2 linked regions of the Xenopus tropicalis genome follow. The protein of the gene in region 1 purifies or fractionates together with the protein of each later gene. This does not show direct contact. Links are inferred from orthologs where the notes say so. Each region holds a gene or a part of one and is shown in the gene's direction. Other genes may lie near its edges.

The links. The genes of interacting proteins can lie anywhere in the genome.
Region 2: the proteins of rnf139 (region 1) and insig1 purify together in Homo sapiens (affinity purification with western blotting, with the first as the bait; 3 studies listed by BioGRID). This does not show direct contact. The link is inferred for Xenopus tropicalis from reciprocal best matches to the Homo sapiens genes RNF139 and INSIG1.

Annotation. Positions count from the first base shown.
Region 1 is NC_030682.2:140,381,933-140,389,594, reverse strand, and holds the start of rnf139 (E3 ubiquitin-protein ligase RNF139), read left to right. Parts: upstream 1-2,762; 5' UTR 2,763-2,827; coding exon 2,828-2,990; intron 2,991-7,662. UniProt on the Homo sapiens protein: E3-ubiquitin ligase; acts as a negative regulator of cell proliferation through mechanisms involving G2/M arrest and cell death.
Region 2 is NC_030682.2:16,632,404-16,640,116, forward strand, and holds the start of insig1 (insulin-induced gene 1 protein), read left to right. Parts: upstream 1-3,504; 5' UTR 3,505-3,587; intron 3,588-5,761; exon of another isoform or gene 5,762-5,764; 5' UTR 5,765-5,784; coding exon 5,785-6,118; intron 6,119-7,713. UniProt on the Homo sapiens protein: Oxysterol-binding protein that mediates feedback control of cholesterol synthesis by controlling both endoplasmic reticulum to Golgi transport of SCAP and degradation of HMGCR.

The DNA of each region.
Region 1 (7,662 bases):
GCTGAGAGGGGAAGAGAAACTTGATTAATTCAGAAACAGTTCAAAATTTTTAATTGAACATATTACATTTTTTATTTCAGTATGATGAAGCTTATAGTTAATGTTTATATTAGTTCCCCTTTAAGTGTGTGTTTGGTTCATGACCTAACTGGGTAAAATGATTGATTTAGTCCTATAGGTTTTGTATTGGGGAAAGCTTCCATATTTACATAACATAGTGCATCAAATTTCCTAGCGTGAAAATAGTTTCTTCACTAATAAATATACTAATGTAATACACTTGTAAGGGAAATGGCAGCACGTATGCTATGCTTCCCCCAGCCTTGGTGTTTCACTGGCTGGTCGGCCAATCCCTGCTGAGGCCCAGGGCAGAGTTAAAGATTCACAGGCAATGATCAGCGCTTTCCTGTAAATGTATAATTCACTGTCCTACTCAGAGTTGCCAGATTTATTTTGCCAAACTAGCCAAAGTCAGTTCTAAAACCAGCCTAAAACTAGCCAAAAGCCATTTTGAAAGTAGCCCAAAAATAGTCCAATATGTGCAATGAAAAAAAATCTAAAAAAAATAAAAGTATATATGGGAAAACCTGCCTTTTAAAGTGTATAATCATTATCCATCCCCTGTGCCCCCTCTCCAGTTACTGGGATGGCTGATAATTCCCTCTGTGCCCAGTCCAGCTGGGAAGTCACTACAGAAATGGATTCAGAATGTTGCATTTACCCCAGACATGATATACATATGGGTGTGTTGAACTACAACTCTCAGCAGCCCCAAGATATCCTGAGAGATATAGCTTAAGGATCAACTGCAGAACTGCCCCCACATCCCAGTAGAAAGTAACAGTACAATCACATACCCTATAGAGCAGGGAGCAGGGGGTAGAACTGCCCCACATCCCAGTAGAAAGTAACAGTACAATCACATACCCTATAGAGCAGGGGGTAGAACTGCCCCCACATCCCAGTAGAAAGTAACAGTACAATCACATACCCTATAGAGCAGGGAGCAGGGGGTAGAACTGCCCCACATCCCAGTAGAAAGTAACAGTACAATCACATACCCTATAGAGCAGGGGGTAGAACTGCCCCCACATCCCAGTAGAAAGTAACAGTACAGTCACATACCCTATAGAGCAGGGAGCAGGGGGTAGAACTGCCCCACATCCCAGTAGAAAGTAACAGTACAATCACATACCCTATAGAGCAGGGGGGTAGAACTGCCCCACATCCCAGTAGAAAGTAACAATACAATCACATACCCTATAGAGCAGGGGGTAGAACTGCCCCACATCCCAGTAGAAAGTAATGGTACAATCACATACCCTATAGAGCAGGGAGCAGGGGGTAGAACTGCCCCACATCCCAGTAGAAAGTAACAGTACAATCACATACCCTATAGAGCAGGGAGCAGGGGGTAGGACTGCCCCACATCCCAGTAGAAAGTAACAGTACAATCACATACCCTATAGAGCAGGGGGTAGAACTGCCCCACATCCCAGTAGAAAGTAACAGTACAATCACATACCCTATAGAGCAGGGGGTAGAACTGCCCCACATCCCAGTAGAAAGTAACAGTACAATCACATACCCTATAGAGCAGGGAGCAGGGGGTAGAACTGCCCCACATCCCAGTAGAAAGTAACAATACAATCACATACCCTATAGAGCAGGGGGTAGAACTGCCCACATCCCAGTAGAAAGTAATGGTACAATCACATACCCTATAGAGCAGGAGCAGGGGGTAGAACTGCCCCACATCCCAGTAGAAAGTAACAGTACAATCACATACCCTATAGAGCAGGGAGCAGGGGGTAGAACTGCCCCACATCCCAGTAGAAAGTAACAGTACAATCACATACCCTATAGAGCAGGGAGCAGGGGTAGAACTGCCCCACATCCCAGTAGAAAGTAACAGTACAATCACATACCCTATAGAGCAGGGAGCAGGGGGTAGAACTGCCCCACATCCCAGTAGAAAGTAACAGTACAATCACATACCCTATAGAGCAGGGAGCAGGGGGTAGAACTGCCCCCACATCCCAGTAGAAAGTAACAGTACAATCACATACCCTATAGAGCAGGGAGCAGGGGGTAGAACTGCCCCACATCCCAGTAGAAAGTAACAGTACAATCACATACCCTATAGAGCAGGGAGCAGGGGGTAGAACTGCCCCACATCCCAGTAGAAAGTAACAATACAATCACATACCCTATAGAGCAGGGAGCAGGGGGTAGAACTGCCCCACATCCCAGTAGAAAGTAACAGTACAATCACATACCCTATAGAGCAGGGAGCAGAACAGACAGGTTGAGCAAAAAGGAGCCTCTGTCTATACTGTCCAATTGCATGCTGGGTATTGTAGTTTTATATTAATCTTACCTGTAGGCTAATAGTTGGAAACAAACTACATTACCCAGCATGCAGTGGAACAGACACACTAGAAGAAAAAATCTTTGGCTAATTTCCAAACTACAAATCTGCCAAGGCTCCAAAAAATAGCCCAAAACTTTACCTTGGCGGGTTTTTACTTTGGAAACCCACCAGGGCTTTAAATTAGTAGCCCAATTTGCCGGAAAACCCGCCAACCCTGCTGTAAATGTATAATTCACTGTGGCGACGATAGACAGGTCAGCGGAAGCAGAATTGAAAGTTTTGCGCAGGCGCATTCCCTCCAAGGACTCGCTTCCGCCCTGAGTTGGACGTCACCGGATGCAGCAATGGTGCCGTGACGCAGCCGCCCTCCTGTTGTGTGAGAGTCGGCCGCGGAAGGAGATGAGGGGGCAATTGGATTCCGGAGGGAAATAGCCCGAGGGGGCGGCGGAGCCCATGGAGTCCCCTCCGGTGGTGGTCGGGCAGCGGGTACGGGCCGTGCTGGATGTGGCCTTGCGGGTTCCCTCTCTCTTTATCACGGACGCCATCCTGAACTTGCCCCACGATGCCTCTGCCGGCTTCCTGTCACTGCTGCTGCAGCTGGCGCTCAGACTGCTGGGTAAGGACTCCGGGCCTGCACAGTAGGGTTAGCCTTGTGACTACTAGCCTGTCTGGCTACTGCCTTGTTCCCTGTGTGCCGGCCAGTGCCATACGGTACCTTCCCCCTGCCGGCTATACATAGGGGCCTGTGTGTTCTACATGTTCCCATTAGCCTCCTGATTGTTATTCTGAGAGGTTATATATCCGAGTCTGATGGGCTGCCCTTTATACATCGGCCGAGCCGCCATTGATCAGCTACAATCTCCCTGCACCCCACAGGCTGTAAGTGGGAGTTGTAGTTCAATGACAGAAGAGCTTTAGTTTGTGCGGCTTGATATACATTGTTACCCTACCATGTAGTTACACTGTGCAATAAATATCTGCTTTTTATACAGATTCTAAAGCTTTGCTAGTTCTGCACCCCCGTCTGCTACAGTCTGCCCCCCCCCAGCCCTGTATTGGTTTCTCCCTGTTTCACTACACTCTCTCCTTAGGGTGAAGACACACGGAGCTACTAGTAGCAGCTACTAAAACAGACAATGCTGATCATTTACTGATAACTGTCTCTACGTGTGTTTTAGCAGAGGCAATTCTCCGTATCTAGTAATCTGTGGGATTTTCTGGTGCTTGGTAGCCATAACAAGTAGCTGCTACTAAGTAGCTCTGTGTGTCTTCACCCTTAGCTTTGGCTGAGTCCTTAATCAGCTGTCTGACTCTTTAGGGCTGTGGCAGACGGCGAGATTAATCTCCCTGAAATGCCATCCCTCTGGCTAGACTGTAAATCACCGGTGGGATGGCATATGCGGCGATTGAGGCAACTTTGGCAAATCGCGGCGACGCGTAAGCCATCCCACCTGTGATTTACAGTCTAGCCAGTGGGATGGCATTCTGGGGAGATTTGTTGCAGGCGACTAATCTCCCCTGTGCCACAGCCCTTAGATTAATCCCCCCATTGATGTACAACATTTGTTTTTAGGGGCCTTCTTAAAGGTCACCATACACGGGCCGATTCTAGCTGCCGATATGGGTCCCTTGGACCGATTCGGCAGCTAATCGGCCCGTGTATGGGCACTACCGACGGGGCTGCCTGACCGATATCTGGCCTGAAATCGTGCAGATCTCGATCGGGCAGGTTAGAAAATCTAGTCGGATCGGGGACCGAATGGGCTCGTTGATGCGGTCCCCGGGCCATCTTTACCTATGCCCGTCATTATAATTCGATCATTTGGCCCCAGGGCCAACGATCGAATTATCCTGGATTCTCCCGATATCGCCCACCCGTAGGTGCCAATGTATGGGGACCTTTAGTAGTTACAGATAAAATAAATTTCAACACTATCAGCTATTTATCAACAGCTGCAAGGATAACTAGAATAGGTGGCCTTAAAGGAACAGTAACACCAAAAAATGAAAGTGTATAAAAGTAACTAAAATATAATGTGCTGCTGCCCTGCACTTGTAAAAGTTGTGTGTTTACTTCAGAAAGTCTACTATAATTTATATAAATAAGCTGCTGTGTAGCCATGGAGGCAGCCATTCAAAGGAGAAAAGGCACAGGCACATAGCAGATAACAGATAAAACATTATTGTATTCTACAGAACTTATCTGTTATCTGCTATGTAACCTGTGCCTTTTCTCCTTTTTTCCAGCTTGAATGGCTGCCCCCATGGCTACACAGCAGCTTATTATATAAATTATAGTAGTGTTACTGTAGCAAACACACCAGTTTTACCAGTGCAGGGCAACAGTGCATTATATTTGTATTACTTTAAAGCTCTTTCAATTTTTGGAGTTACTGTTCCTTTAAATATCACTTTAATTAACCTCCATTTTGGGCTTCTGTAAGTACAGTGAGACATTCTCCCCCAAATCTCCAACTAACTGACCTCTTGTCTGGCCCCAGTACCATTGGGGAGGGAGCGCTGTATAACACCAGGACTGACTAGTCACAGCTGGAGGGCTGCCAGGCTGCTTTGTGCAATCCATACCAGCCATTTATCCCTATTATCCCTGTCCCTGCTAGACCTGCCCTATGTGCAGTTATTATTCCCCTGGGCTTGTGCAGTGACAGTGCTGGGATTGCTGCGGCTTCTTTAAATGGAACTGACACCCCACTAAACTTGGTATTGGCATCTGTTCCTTTATATGTGATGTTTGTATTAATTAACCTTGTAATTATATGGTTAGTGCTTGGTGTATTCATGGCTGGTTAATATTCAAGCTCTCGGTTAAGGGCAGAGAGGCATTTGGGGTAAAGCAGCCTGTGTGGCCAATAGACATGGGATGAGCTGGAGTTGGGTCAGACTGGGGCTGGAACTCTGTCGCCCTGATTGGAAAGTATTGGTGAAACTGGCTGTAAGAGCCTGACCGGCTGGTATTGTGATTAAACCTGTATAAGTGCATAACAACCGAACATATTCGGCTTTGTGTGCCCAGCCCACAGGCAGCTGCCAGACCCGGGGTTCTGCTAGCGGGAGCTTCGCCAGTCTGGGCGGGGGAGTTTGCTTTGGCAGTCGGGCAAAGTTACAAAAAATATTCTGTAAATTGACATTTAAGAGTAATGGTTTTTTTTATTGATCAGCCCAAAAAACTAACTGCCATACGCCTGAAGCAACTGCTCCCCCATTGGCTTAATTGGGAATGATTTGAGGGGCTCTCGTGTTTGCGCTTGTCAGGGGAAGCGACATGTTTCATTGCACGTGGCAGTCTAGGGGGGTCGCTGTGACACAGCTCTGTGTGCTACTGTCACTCACAGTATAAGAGGCATGTCCCATACATGCCCCGCCCCATAATGAGATCACAAAAGGGGCGGGGAGTGACAGGGGTGCGCCTATAAATTCAGAAGCTGGGAGACACGGGCTGCACAACCCTAATTCATATAAAAGTCCCCAAGGATATCACCCACCCCCCATCTCATAGGCAATAATGGAACAATATATAATGTTGGTTTCACTTTGGACTAAAAATGACTATTATTCATAAAAATAGCCCCTTAATAGGAGCTCCCTATAGATCTGCTATGGTTCCTGTCCATGTTTCAAATGAGAGGTGGGCTTGTACTAACGGACCCTGCCAGAAGCACTGTAGGAGAGAGCCAATCACAGCCCTGCAATCACACAAGCAAAGATAGGTGTCAGTTCCCTATTGGGTCAGCCCAGCTGCAGGAAGTGGAACAGATGGGCGGGACTAGGGGTTTTTTTTGTTTTTTTTTATTTACACAACAAATCAGCTAAAGCAACTTTTTAAATCACATTCCTTTTATATTTAAAAGTGCATAATGCAGTGGCATATTCTTATTTTTATACACTGTGTCCCTTTAGATGAGACATTTGCTTATGGGTGTATAGCCGAGAGCATCAGGAACCTTCCTGGAGTTGCCTGGAAATGTATATTTAAACCCAATTAACCCGGGGCCCTACAGGTGCAACGCGGTGAGAGGCAAAGTTCATCTGCATCTAGTTTGCCCCAGTTTGCCCATGCCTTCCTGCAGCACATTCCTAGAAGTCGCACACACAATAGTGTGACTAACGCACATTCAGTGCATTCCTAGCGTGCTATTGCCACCATGGACTCCTGGCTGCCGGGGTGTGTTCCTTCCAGTAGGTGTTGGTGCCTAGATAGGGGTGTGCTGCACCACAGTCCCGCCTCACTAACACCCATTTCATAGAAATCTTCTTTAAGGCCAGCCCTCTTCCCAGTGAGATGTTCATGAGTCAGAAATCTGAGTATGTTGCGCTTTTTCCCTTAAGAGAAAATGGTAGAAAGAATGTGAGGCAGTTAATGGGTTACTGATTACAGTGATGCAAGGATTCAACCCTCATTGTAATCAGTCAGTCATTACAGGAATCACCTCATTGGCTTCCACTCATCTACTAACTTTTGATTGGTAGCAGAGCGGCATCTTACTGTTTAAAGGAGAAGTAACACCAAAAAATGGTCTGTCCCCCCTGGCTACACAGCAGCTGATTTATATAAACTATAGTAGACTTTCTCAAGGAGACTTCGGCCAATCGCGGCACTGCGTATGCCATCCCACAGGCGATTTACATTCTACCCGCTGGGATGGCATTGTGGGGAGGTTAGTTGCGACTAATCTCCCCGTGTGTCACGGCCCTAAGGGTGAAGACACACTGAGCAACTAGTAGCAGCTACTTTTTCACGGCTACTAAATTCCAGAAAATCCCCTGCTATATACAATACTGAGAATTGCTTCTGCTAAAACACATGTAGAGACAGTTATCAGTAAATCATCAGCATTGTCTATTTTAGTAGCCACGACAAGTAGCTGCTACTAGTAGCTCTGTGTGTCTTCACCCTTAACAGTGCAAAGAACAGTACATTATATTGTAATGTTAATTTTTTGATGTTACTTGTCCTTTAGAAGCAAACTGACATATAGCTGGGGGATTTGTTATATTGATTCAAAGGTTGGAGCCACAAAAAAACAAGTACAATTTGTTCCTTGTTATTGATGCCTGAATTACTGCTATGGGATCCGTTCTGTAATTTGGATCAACAGACCTTAAGCCCAATAAATATCATTTAAATATGAAATATACCTAATAGTAATTGCTTAGCCATCAGTATAGGTTCCTTCAGCTTTGTCAGGATGAAGTACAGGGTCCTGTTTTATTACAGAGCAAAGAAAATCATTTTTATTGGCTTAAAACCTAATGAGAGTTGCCCCCCC
Region 2 (7,713 bases), about 120 Mb from region 1:
TGGCTGACCTGATTTAACCCATCAAATATTTGCCATATTCTTCTGTTCCGAGCAGGGTAGGCAGTGGAAAAATAGGACATGGAACTTTGATCACTTGCAGCATTCCTCTGTATAACCTCACAGTGTACCGTGCCAGTAAATAAGGATGTGTCTGTGCTAACAATCAGTAACAGGAAAATGTCCGACTATACATACGTGATTATGCACTTTAATGGATACCACCAATGATATAAGGATTCATGTGTGCCCTAATGCCTGTCCGGTTATGCCCTCGCATAAGGTAGAACCATATAGGCACTTGCATTTATCGCTTATTTATGAAGATGAAAGTAAAAGTGTGCATTTTTTTCTCCACTTCCCTATAGTTACAAGAGGCAATAGGTTTTTGGACAGACCCCAATTTGCACCCTCTGACAGATAATTAAGATGGGTATTTACAGACCCCTCAAAGTTAACAGCATTCAGAATTCCCAAAATTTGCTTCCTCCTTCAAAGCCATTTACTGCAGTATATGAAAAGTGGGGCAGTGCCCAAATAGTGTAAAATCGTTTTATTTCAAGTTATAGAAAAGGCACTCGATAAAAACATTCAAGTCCACTATAAGGCTTTCCCACCCAATCAGATTATTCTCCTCCATCCTATGCATTCACTAATCCTACTCATTTCAGCAATAGGTCCTAGTGGGAGCCATGTTTCTTCATGCCAATGTTATTAATAGGGGGAAAAGAAAATTTTAAAAAGTCTGGTATTTTTTTCCACAAAAAGTGACAACTGTAGCGCACCCACAATGGATTAGGGCAGTGACCCCCAACCAGTGGCTCGGGGGCAACATGCTGCTAACCAACCCCTTGGATGTTGCTCTCAGTGGCCTCAAAGTAGCTTCCATATTTACATTTCTGACTTGGAGACAAGTTTTGGAAGCCCAGAGACCAAGTTTTACCCCAAGCAGGTCCTCCTGCAGCCCAGCAGTCTACATGGGGCTACCAAATAGCCAATAACAGCCCTTATTAGGCATCCCCAAAGAACTTTTTACATGCTTGTATGGCTCTCCAACACTTATTACATCTTAGGGGCAGATTCATAAAGTCCGAATTACAAGTAAAATTTGCGAAAATTTGCATTAAATAAGAAAATTTCTGATGTACGTTAATTTTGCGTAAAGTCGCGTCGTGCTTGTACAAAAATATCGAGGTGCGATCCGAAAGTTATGAAATTTTCATAACCAAACAATCGTAAACGGAAAAACGGAAAACCTTTCTGACTTTGAACCTTCAGTGCATAATTTTGGCACTCTGCAGCTCCAACCCGGCCCAAGGAAAGCCTCCCATAGGGCTCAATGGCACTCTGCAGCTCCAACCCGGCCCAAGGAAAGCCTCCCATAGGGCTCAATGGCACTCTGCAGCTCCAACCCGGCCCAAGGAAAGTCTCCCATAGGGCTCAATGGCACTCTGCAGCTCCAACCCGGCCCAAGGAAAGTCTCCCATAGGGCTCAATGGCACTCTGCAGCTCCAACCCGGCCCAAGGAAAGTCTCCCATAGGGCTCAATGGCACTCTGCAGCTCCAACCCGGCCCAAGGAAAGTCTCCCATAGGGCTCAATGGCACTCTGCAGCTCCAACCCGGCCCAAGGAAAGCCTCCCATAGGGCTCAATGGCACTCTGCAGCTCCAACCTGGCCCAAGGAAAGTCTCCCATAGGGCTCAATGGCACTCTGCAGCTCCAACCCGGCCCAAGGAAAGTCTCCCATAGTGCTCAATGGCACTCTGCAGCTCCAACCCGGCCCAAGGAAAGTCTCCCATAGGGCTCAATGGCACTCTGCAGCTCCAACCCGGCCCAAGGAAAGTCACCCATAGGGCTCAATGGCACTCTGCAGCTCCAACCCGGCCCAAGGAAAGTCTCCCATAGGGCTCAATGGCACTCTGCAGCTCCAACCCGGCCCAAGGAAAGTCTCCCATAGGGCTCAATGACACTCTGCAGCTCCAACCCGGCCCAAGGAAAGTCTCCCATAGGGCTCAATGGCACTCTGCAGCTCCAACCCGGCCCAAGGAAAGTCTCCCATAGGGCTCAATGGCACTCTGCAGCTCCAACCCGGCCCAAGGAAAGTCTCCCATAGGGCTCAATGGCGCTCTGCAGCTCCAACCCGGCCCAAGGAAAGTCTCCCATAGGGCTCAATGGCACTCTGCAGCTCCAACCCGGCCCAAGGAAAGTCTCCCATAGGGCTCAATGGCACTCTGCAGCTCCAACCCGGCCCAAGGAATGTCTCCCATAGGACTCAATGGCACTCTGCAGCTCCAACCCGGCCCAAGGAAAGTCTCCCATAGGGCTCAATGGCACTCTGCAGCTCCAACCCGGCCCAAGGAAAGTCTCCCATAGGGCTCAATGGCACTCTGCAGCTCCAACCCGGACCCAAGGAAAGTCTCCCATAGGGCTCAATGGCACTCTGCAGCTCCAACCTGGCCCAAGGAAAGTCTCCCATAGGGCTCAATGGCACTCTGCAGCTCCAACCCGGCCCAAGGAAAGTCTCCCATAGGGCTCAATGGCACTCTGCAGCTCCAACCTGGCCCAAGGAAAGTCTCCCATAGGGCTCAATGGCACTCTGCAGCTCCAACCAAGCCCAAGGAAAGTCACGATACCAAAGCTTGAATGATTCCGAAACTTTCGTACTCGTTGCGACAATACGATTTTGTAGCGCAAAAAGTAGCGGAAATTATAAAATACAATTTTTTTCTATTCGTAACCAATCGTCCATTGATAAATGGGCCCCTTCGTGTAGCTCAGAAATGTTGGGGATCCCTGGTATAGGGGATCCAGTGGGACACTGAGCCATAAGCAGCTGAAGCCCAGGGAGCCAGTCAGACGCTAGTCAGGTCACTGCCCCCAGAGACACTTTGAAGCCGAGCTGCTCACAGTCTATATATTGACAGAACCGGACAGCGCTGCTATTTTCAGCCACAGGAGGAAGACCCAAAAGGCCGAGGTCCTGTAAGTCATTGCCTTCCACCCATCAGGCCCCGGGCTAATGGATAACTACACTAGTACCAGATAGGGGACATCACACCTGGAACGTTCCATTCAACACGTACCGCCCGTCAGTCACACACAGGCCATGGCAGCACGCCGCCTCCCAGCCAGACTACGTGCGCGCCCCCGCCCCCAGCCGAGTCACGTGTTCCCATCTCTTGTTTTGATTTTGTGTCTCAGGCGCGGGAGTGCGCAAGGTGGGTGTGCGTGGTGCGGCCGCGACGTCATATGGGCAGGCCGCCGCTGATTGGCTGGGGCGGCTCACCAGACACGCATGTTGTTGTTGGGGTCGGGACAGCTGTTGGCATATCCTGCTCTTATGTGAGTCACCGGGGGTAAAGGGGGAGGAGCCGAGGTTTGGCCGTGTGGGCGGGGAGATGCTGCCACAACAGTATCACTACCTGAGCCATTCCAACTCATCTCGTCAGATTCAAGGAGCTACGGGAGGCGGCAGGGGAGGAAATCCTAATACCGGGGTTAAAAGGTGGAAACTTTATCCGCTCTCATAGATCCTGCGTTCCGCTTGGGAGTGAGCACAGCTTGGATACCGGGAGAGCACAGCATTGTGGGTAAGGAGAGCTGAGGGGCAATGCAGTGAATATGATGCCATAGGGACTGGCACTGTAATGGGGTCGCTAGGGACTGCTGGCACTATGGTGCCACTGGGATGGTGGGTACTGTGTATCTGATGCCAACCCAGCAGGGACTAAGGGATATGTCATGCCAGGTATCTTGGCACTGTTGGGGGCAATGGGGTGCCATTCCTGCCAGCTGTGTATCTGCTGCCATTTGGTTCTGCTGTGGGCAATGGGTAATGCTGCTGTGGGCAATGGGTAATGCTGCTGTGGGCAATGGGTAATGCTGCTGTGGGCAATGGGTAATGGTGCTGTGGGCAATGGGTAATGCTGCTGTGGGCAATGGGTAATGGTGCTGGGGGCAATGGGTAATGGTGCTGGGGGCAATGGGTAATGGTGCTGGGGGCAATGGGTAATGGTGCTGGGGGCAATGGGTAATGCTGCTGTGGGCAATGGGTAATGGTGCTGTGGGCAATGGGTAATGCTGCTGTGGGCAATGGGTAATGCTGCTGTGGGCAATGGGTAATGCTGCTGTGGGCAATGGGTAATGGTGCTGTGGGCAATGGGTAATGCTGCTGTGGGCAATGGGTAATGGTGCTGGGGGCAATGGGTAATGGTGCTGGGGGCAATGGGTAATGGTGCTGGGGGCAATGGGTAATGCTGCTGTGGGCAATGGGTAATGCTGCTGTGGGCAATGGGTAATGCTGCTGTGGGCAATGGGTAATGCTGCTGTGGGCAATGGGTAATGCCGCTGTGGGCAATGGGTAATGGTGCTGTGGGCAATGGGTAATGGTGCTGGGGGCAATGGGTAATGGTGCTGTGGGCAATGGGTAATACCGCTGGGGGCAATGGGTAATGCTGCTGTAAACCTGGTGCCATTGCCCTGAGCATAGTTGGCTGCTGTGTATCCGGTTACTGCTGCATTTATTGTGATGTGCAGGTTACTGGATCATTGCTGTATATCATATGCTAGTGCACTGCATTAAGGGTGAAGACACACTGGGCTACTAATTGCAGCTACTTTTTCAAGGCTACTAAACTCCAGAAAATACACTGCAATAGACAGTACTGAGAACTGCCTCTGCTAAAACACTGGTAGAGACAATTATCAGTAAATGTCTTTTTTAGTAGCCAGGACAAGTAGCTGCTACTAGTAGCTCTGTGTGTCTTCACCCTTATGGTCCAATGCCACAGGCCTAGGCACTGCTTCTCCAAACGTGAGCTTAGCTCTTTAAATGCAGGTTTGAGGTCATGAAGAATACTAGGGCATTAAAGATGGTGCTGTACTGACAATGGGCCACCTAAAATGTTGCCATATTGCTAGACATTAGCCCACTAAAGTATGTACCGTAGCACTGGTCCACTAATGTTGGTGCCCTGCTGCTAGTCACTGGCCTGGTTGGTGATTTATTGCTGGGCATTGGCCCATACTGCAGGCACTATTGGTAACTCATTGTGTTGTTGTTTAGAGAGAGTCAGTCTGAGATAATCATTCTGCATTTATATTTCCCAATGCTTTTGCCACTACTCTGACTATATATGCATTTAGATGAAATATGGACATTTTTGCCATTAAAGTTAGCTTTGCAGTTGCCATTGCATGCTGTGCAGCTTTACAGTTCAGCTCTGTGCTGGAGAATGTGACGTGGGACTGCCAGCTGATGTTTATGGAAAAGTAAGGGAAGCAGAGTGGTCCAAAAAAATGTGCAGATGTTGGCTTACTGGCACACAGAAAGTACATTGCATTTTGTCCAGTTCTTGTAGTCTGTAACAGCCAATCAGGTGTCTCCTTTCATCTCCGACCCTCCTGGTGGCAATGGAGGACGGGGCCTTGTCAAATTGTGTCTGTGGTAATACTTGTTTTTATTTTATGGAAAAGTTTGCATTTTGAATACAGTGGTGCTCTGAGAGCAATCAACCCTTGGTTATCATTCATTTGTAAGGGAAATACACCACTTATGGCAGATAGTTTAACTGTCAGCTGTGTTACCAAACTATGCCCACGGGTTGCTGTATTTCCCTTTTAAATGAATGTCAGACAAAGGCAATTTGTGCTATTCTGTAGGTCTCTTTGGTGATGACCTCTATGCTCATTGGTAGGAACTGAATGCCATGCAGAGCAGGAAATCCTTTTCAACTAATATATTCTGCTTTTGCTTTCATTTCTGCAGTTCCATACAGCCGTAAACAAATGCAAACACTAGAGGAGCACTGCTGGAGTTGCTCTTGCACCCGAGGAAGAGACAAGAAGGGTACAAGGCTCAGCACCTGGCTAGCCCAAAGAGCTGCAAAAGCCATGTCCTCCTTAAACTCTCTCCTCAGCCTTGCCTACCACACCCTGGCCAGCAGCGAAGGTCGGAGCCTTATCCGGAGAAGCCTCGTACTCTTTGCCGTTGGTGTGTTCCTTGCTTTGGTCCTAAATTTACTTCAGATCCAAAGGAATGTGACTCTGTTTCCAGAGGAAGTCATTGCTACCATATTTTCCTCTGCTTGGTGGGTCCCTCCATGTTGTGGAACTGCAGCTGGTGAGTATTCATTTGTCCATATTGGTTTATGGAGCTTTGCCTTTGACTAAGGTTCAGTAGCACCGGCATAGGCCATAGCCTTTTAGGCAACTCTTGCCTGCTTTTTAGCTATAGCTGCCTCTCTATTAAAGGGGTGGGTCACCTTTAAGTAAACTTTTAGTATGTCATAGCATGGCTAATTCTAACCAACTTTTCAATTGGTCTTCAATTTTTCTTATAGTTTTTGAATTCTGCCTCTTTCCAGCTTCCAAATGGGGGTCACTGACCCCGGCATCCAAAAACTATTGCGCTGTGAGGCTACAGTTTTATTGTTATGGTTACTTTTTATTACCTACCTTTCTATTCAGGCCCTGTCCTGTTCATATTCCAGTGTCTCATTCACATCAATTGCTGGTTGCTAGAGTCATTTGGACTCTAGCAACTAGATAGGAGCTGGAGAGCTGCTACATAAAGAGCTAAATAATTCAAAAACCATAAAAAATGAAGATTGTCTTGGAATATTACTCTCTACATCGTGCTAAGAGTTAATGTAAAGGTGTACAACCCCTTTAAAGCAAGAGGATTCTATATAGAGGATTTTTGTTCCCAGCAGTTCAGGAGAGAAGAGTGGCATTTAATACTTAACCTCAGTCTGCAAGCCCTCTTGTACCACGTATTGTGTCAAGTCCACAAGCTCCCATGATGCCATACTCTCCCTGTGTGGTAGGGCCCCATATATTAAACTCTTATTACATACAGAGAGTGCAGTTTGTGGGCATGGCACTGCATGTTGTGTGCAGGAGGGCTGATTACATACTTAATGCTCTGGCACAGATTACAGACAGCGCAAAGCAGGGAAGACCAGTAGGGTTCCTAAAGGGGGGGGGGGGGGGGGCGCTTATACTGGTGACACCAGGAAGCAGAAGGAGTCCCTGTAAAGTACAGCGTAGAGCTTGCATTAGGAAGACTGTCAGCAAGGTTTATACTCATTTACTTATGTCAAGGTAAGGGTGTAACTAGAGGAAGGAGACCCTCTGACTGTTGGTGGGCCCTGAAGGTATATGGGGACCAATGGAGGATAATCAATATAGGATAGCCCTAAAATGATTGTGGGGTATGCCAGTAACTCCTACTTACACCAGCGCTCAAGCCATGGTTAAAGTCTAGAGAAGAGAGTGGTTTCTTAAATGACTAAAGAGTTGACTGTAGATCTCTAAGGGTGAAGACACACTGGGCTACTAGTAGCAGCTACTTTTCAGGGCTACTAGTAGCAGCTACTTTTCAAGGCTACTAAACGCCACAAAATACCCTGCCATAGACAATACTGAGAATTGCCTCTGCTAAAACACATGTAGAGACAGTTATCAGTAAATGATCAGCATTGTATTTTTTAGTAGCCACGACAAGTAGCTGCTATTAGTAGCTCCGTGTGTCTTCACCCTAAAAACTCATTTTGCTTCTAAGCGTGGTTCTGTTGTCCATTCTAAACGGCCCAGTGGCCCTAACTATATATGTATTCTATCATGTCCATTCTCTCTTTACTTATCCAGTAAATGACATTGTAAATGCACAGCTGTGCACAGAGCATCTCTCCAATTCCTTGTTAACTACAATAC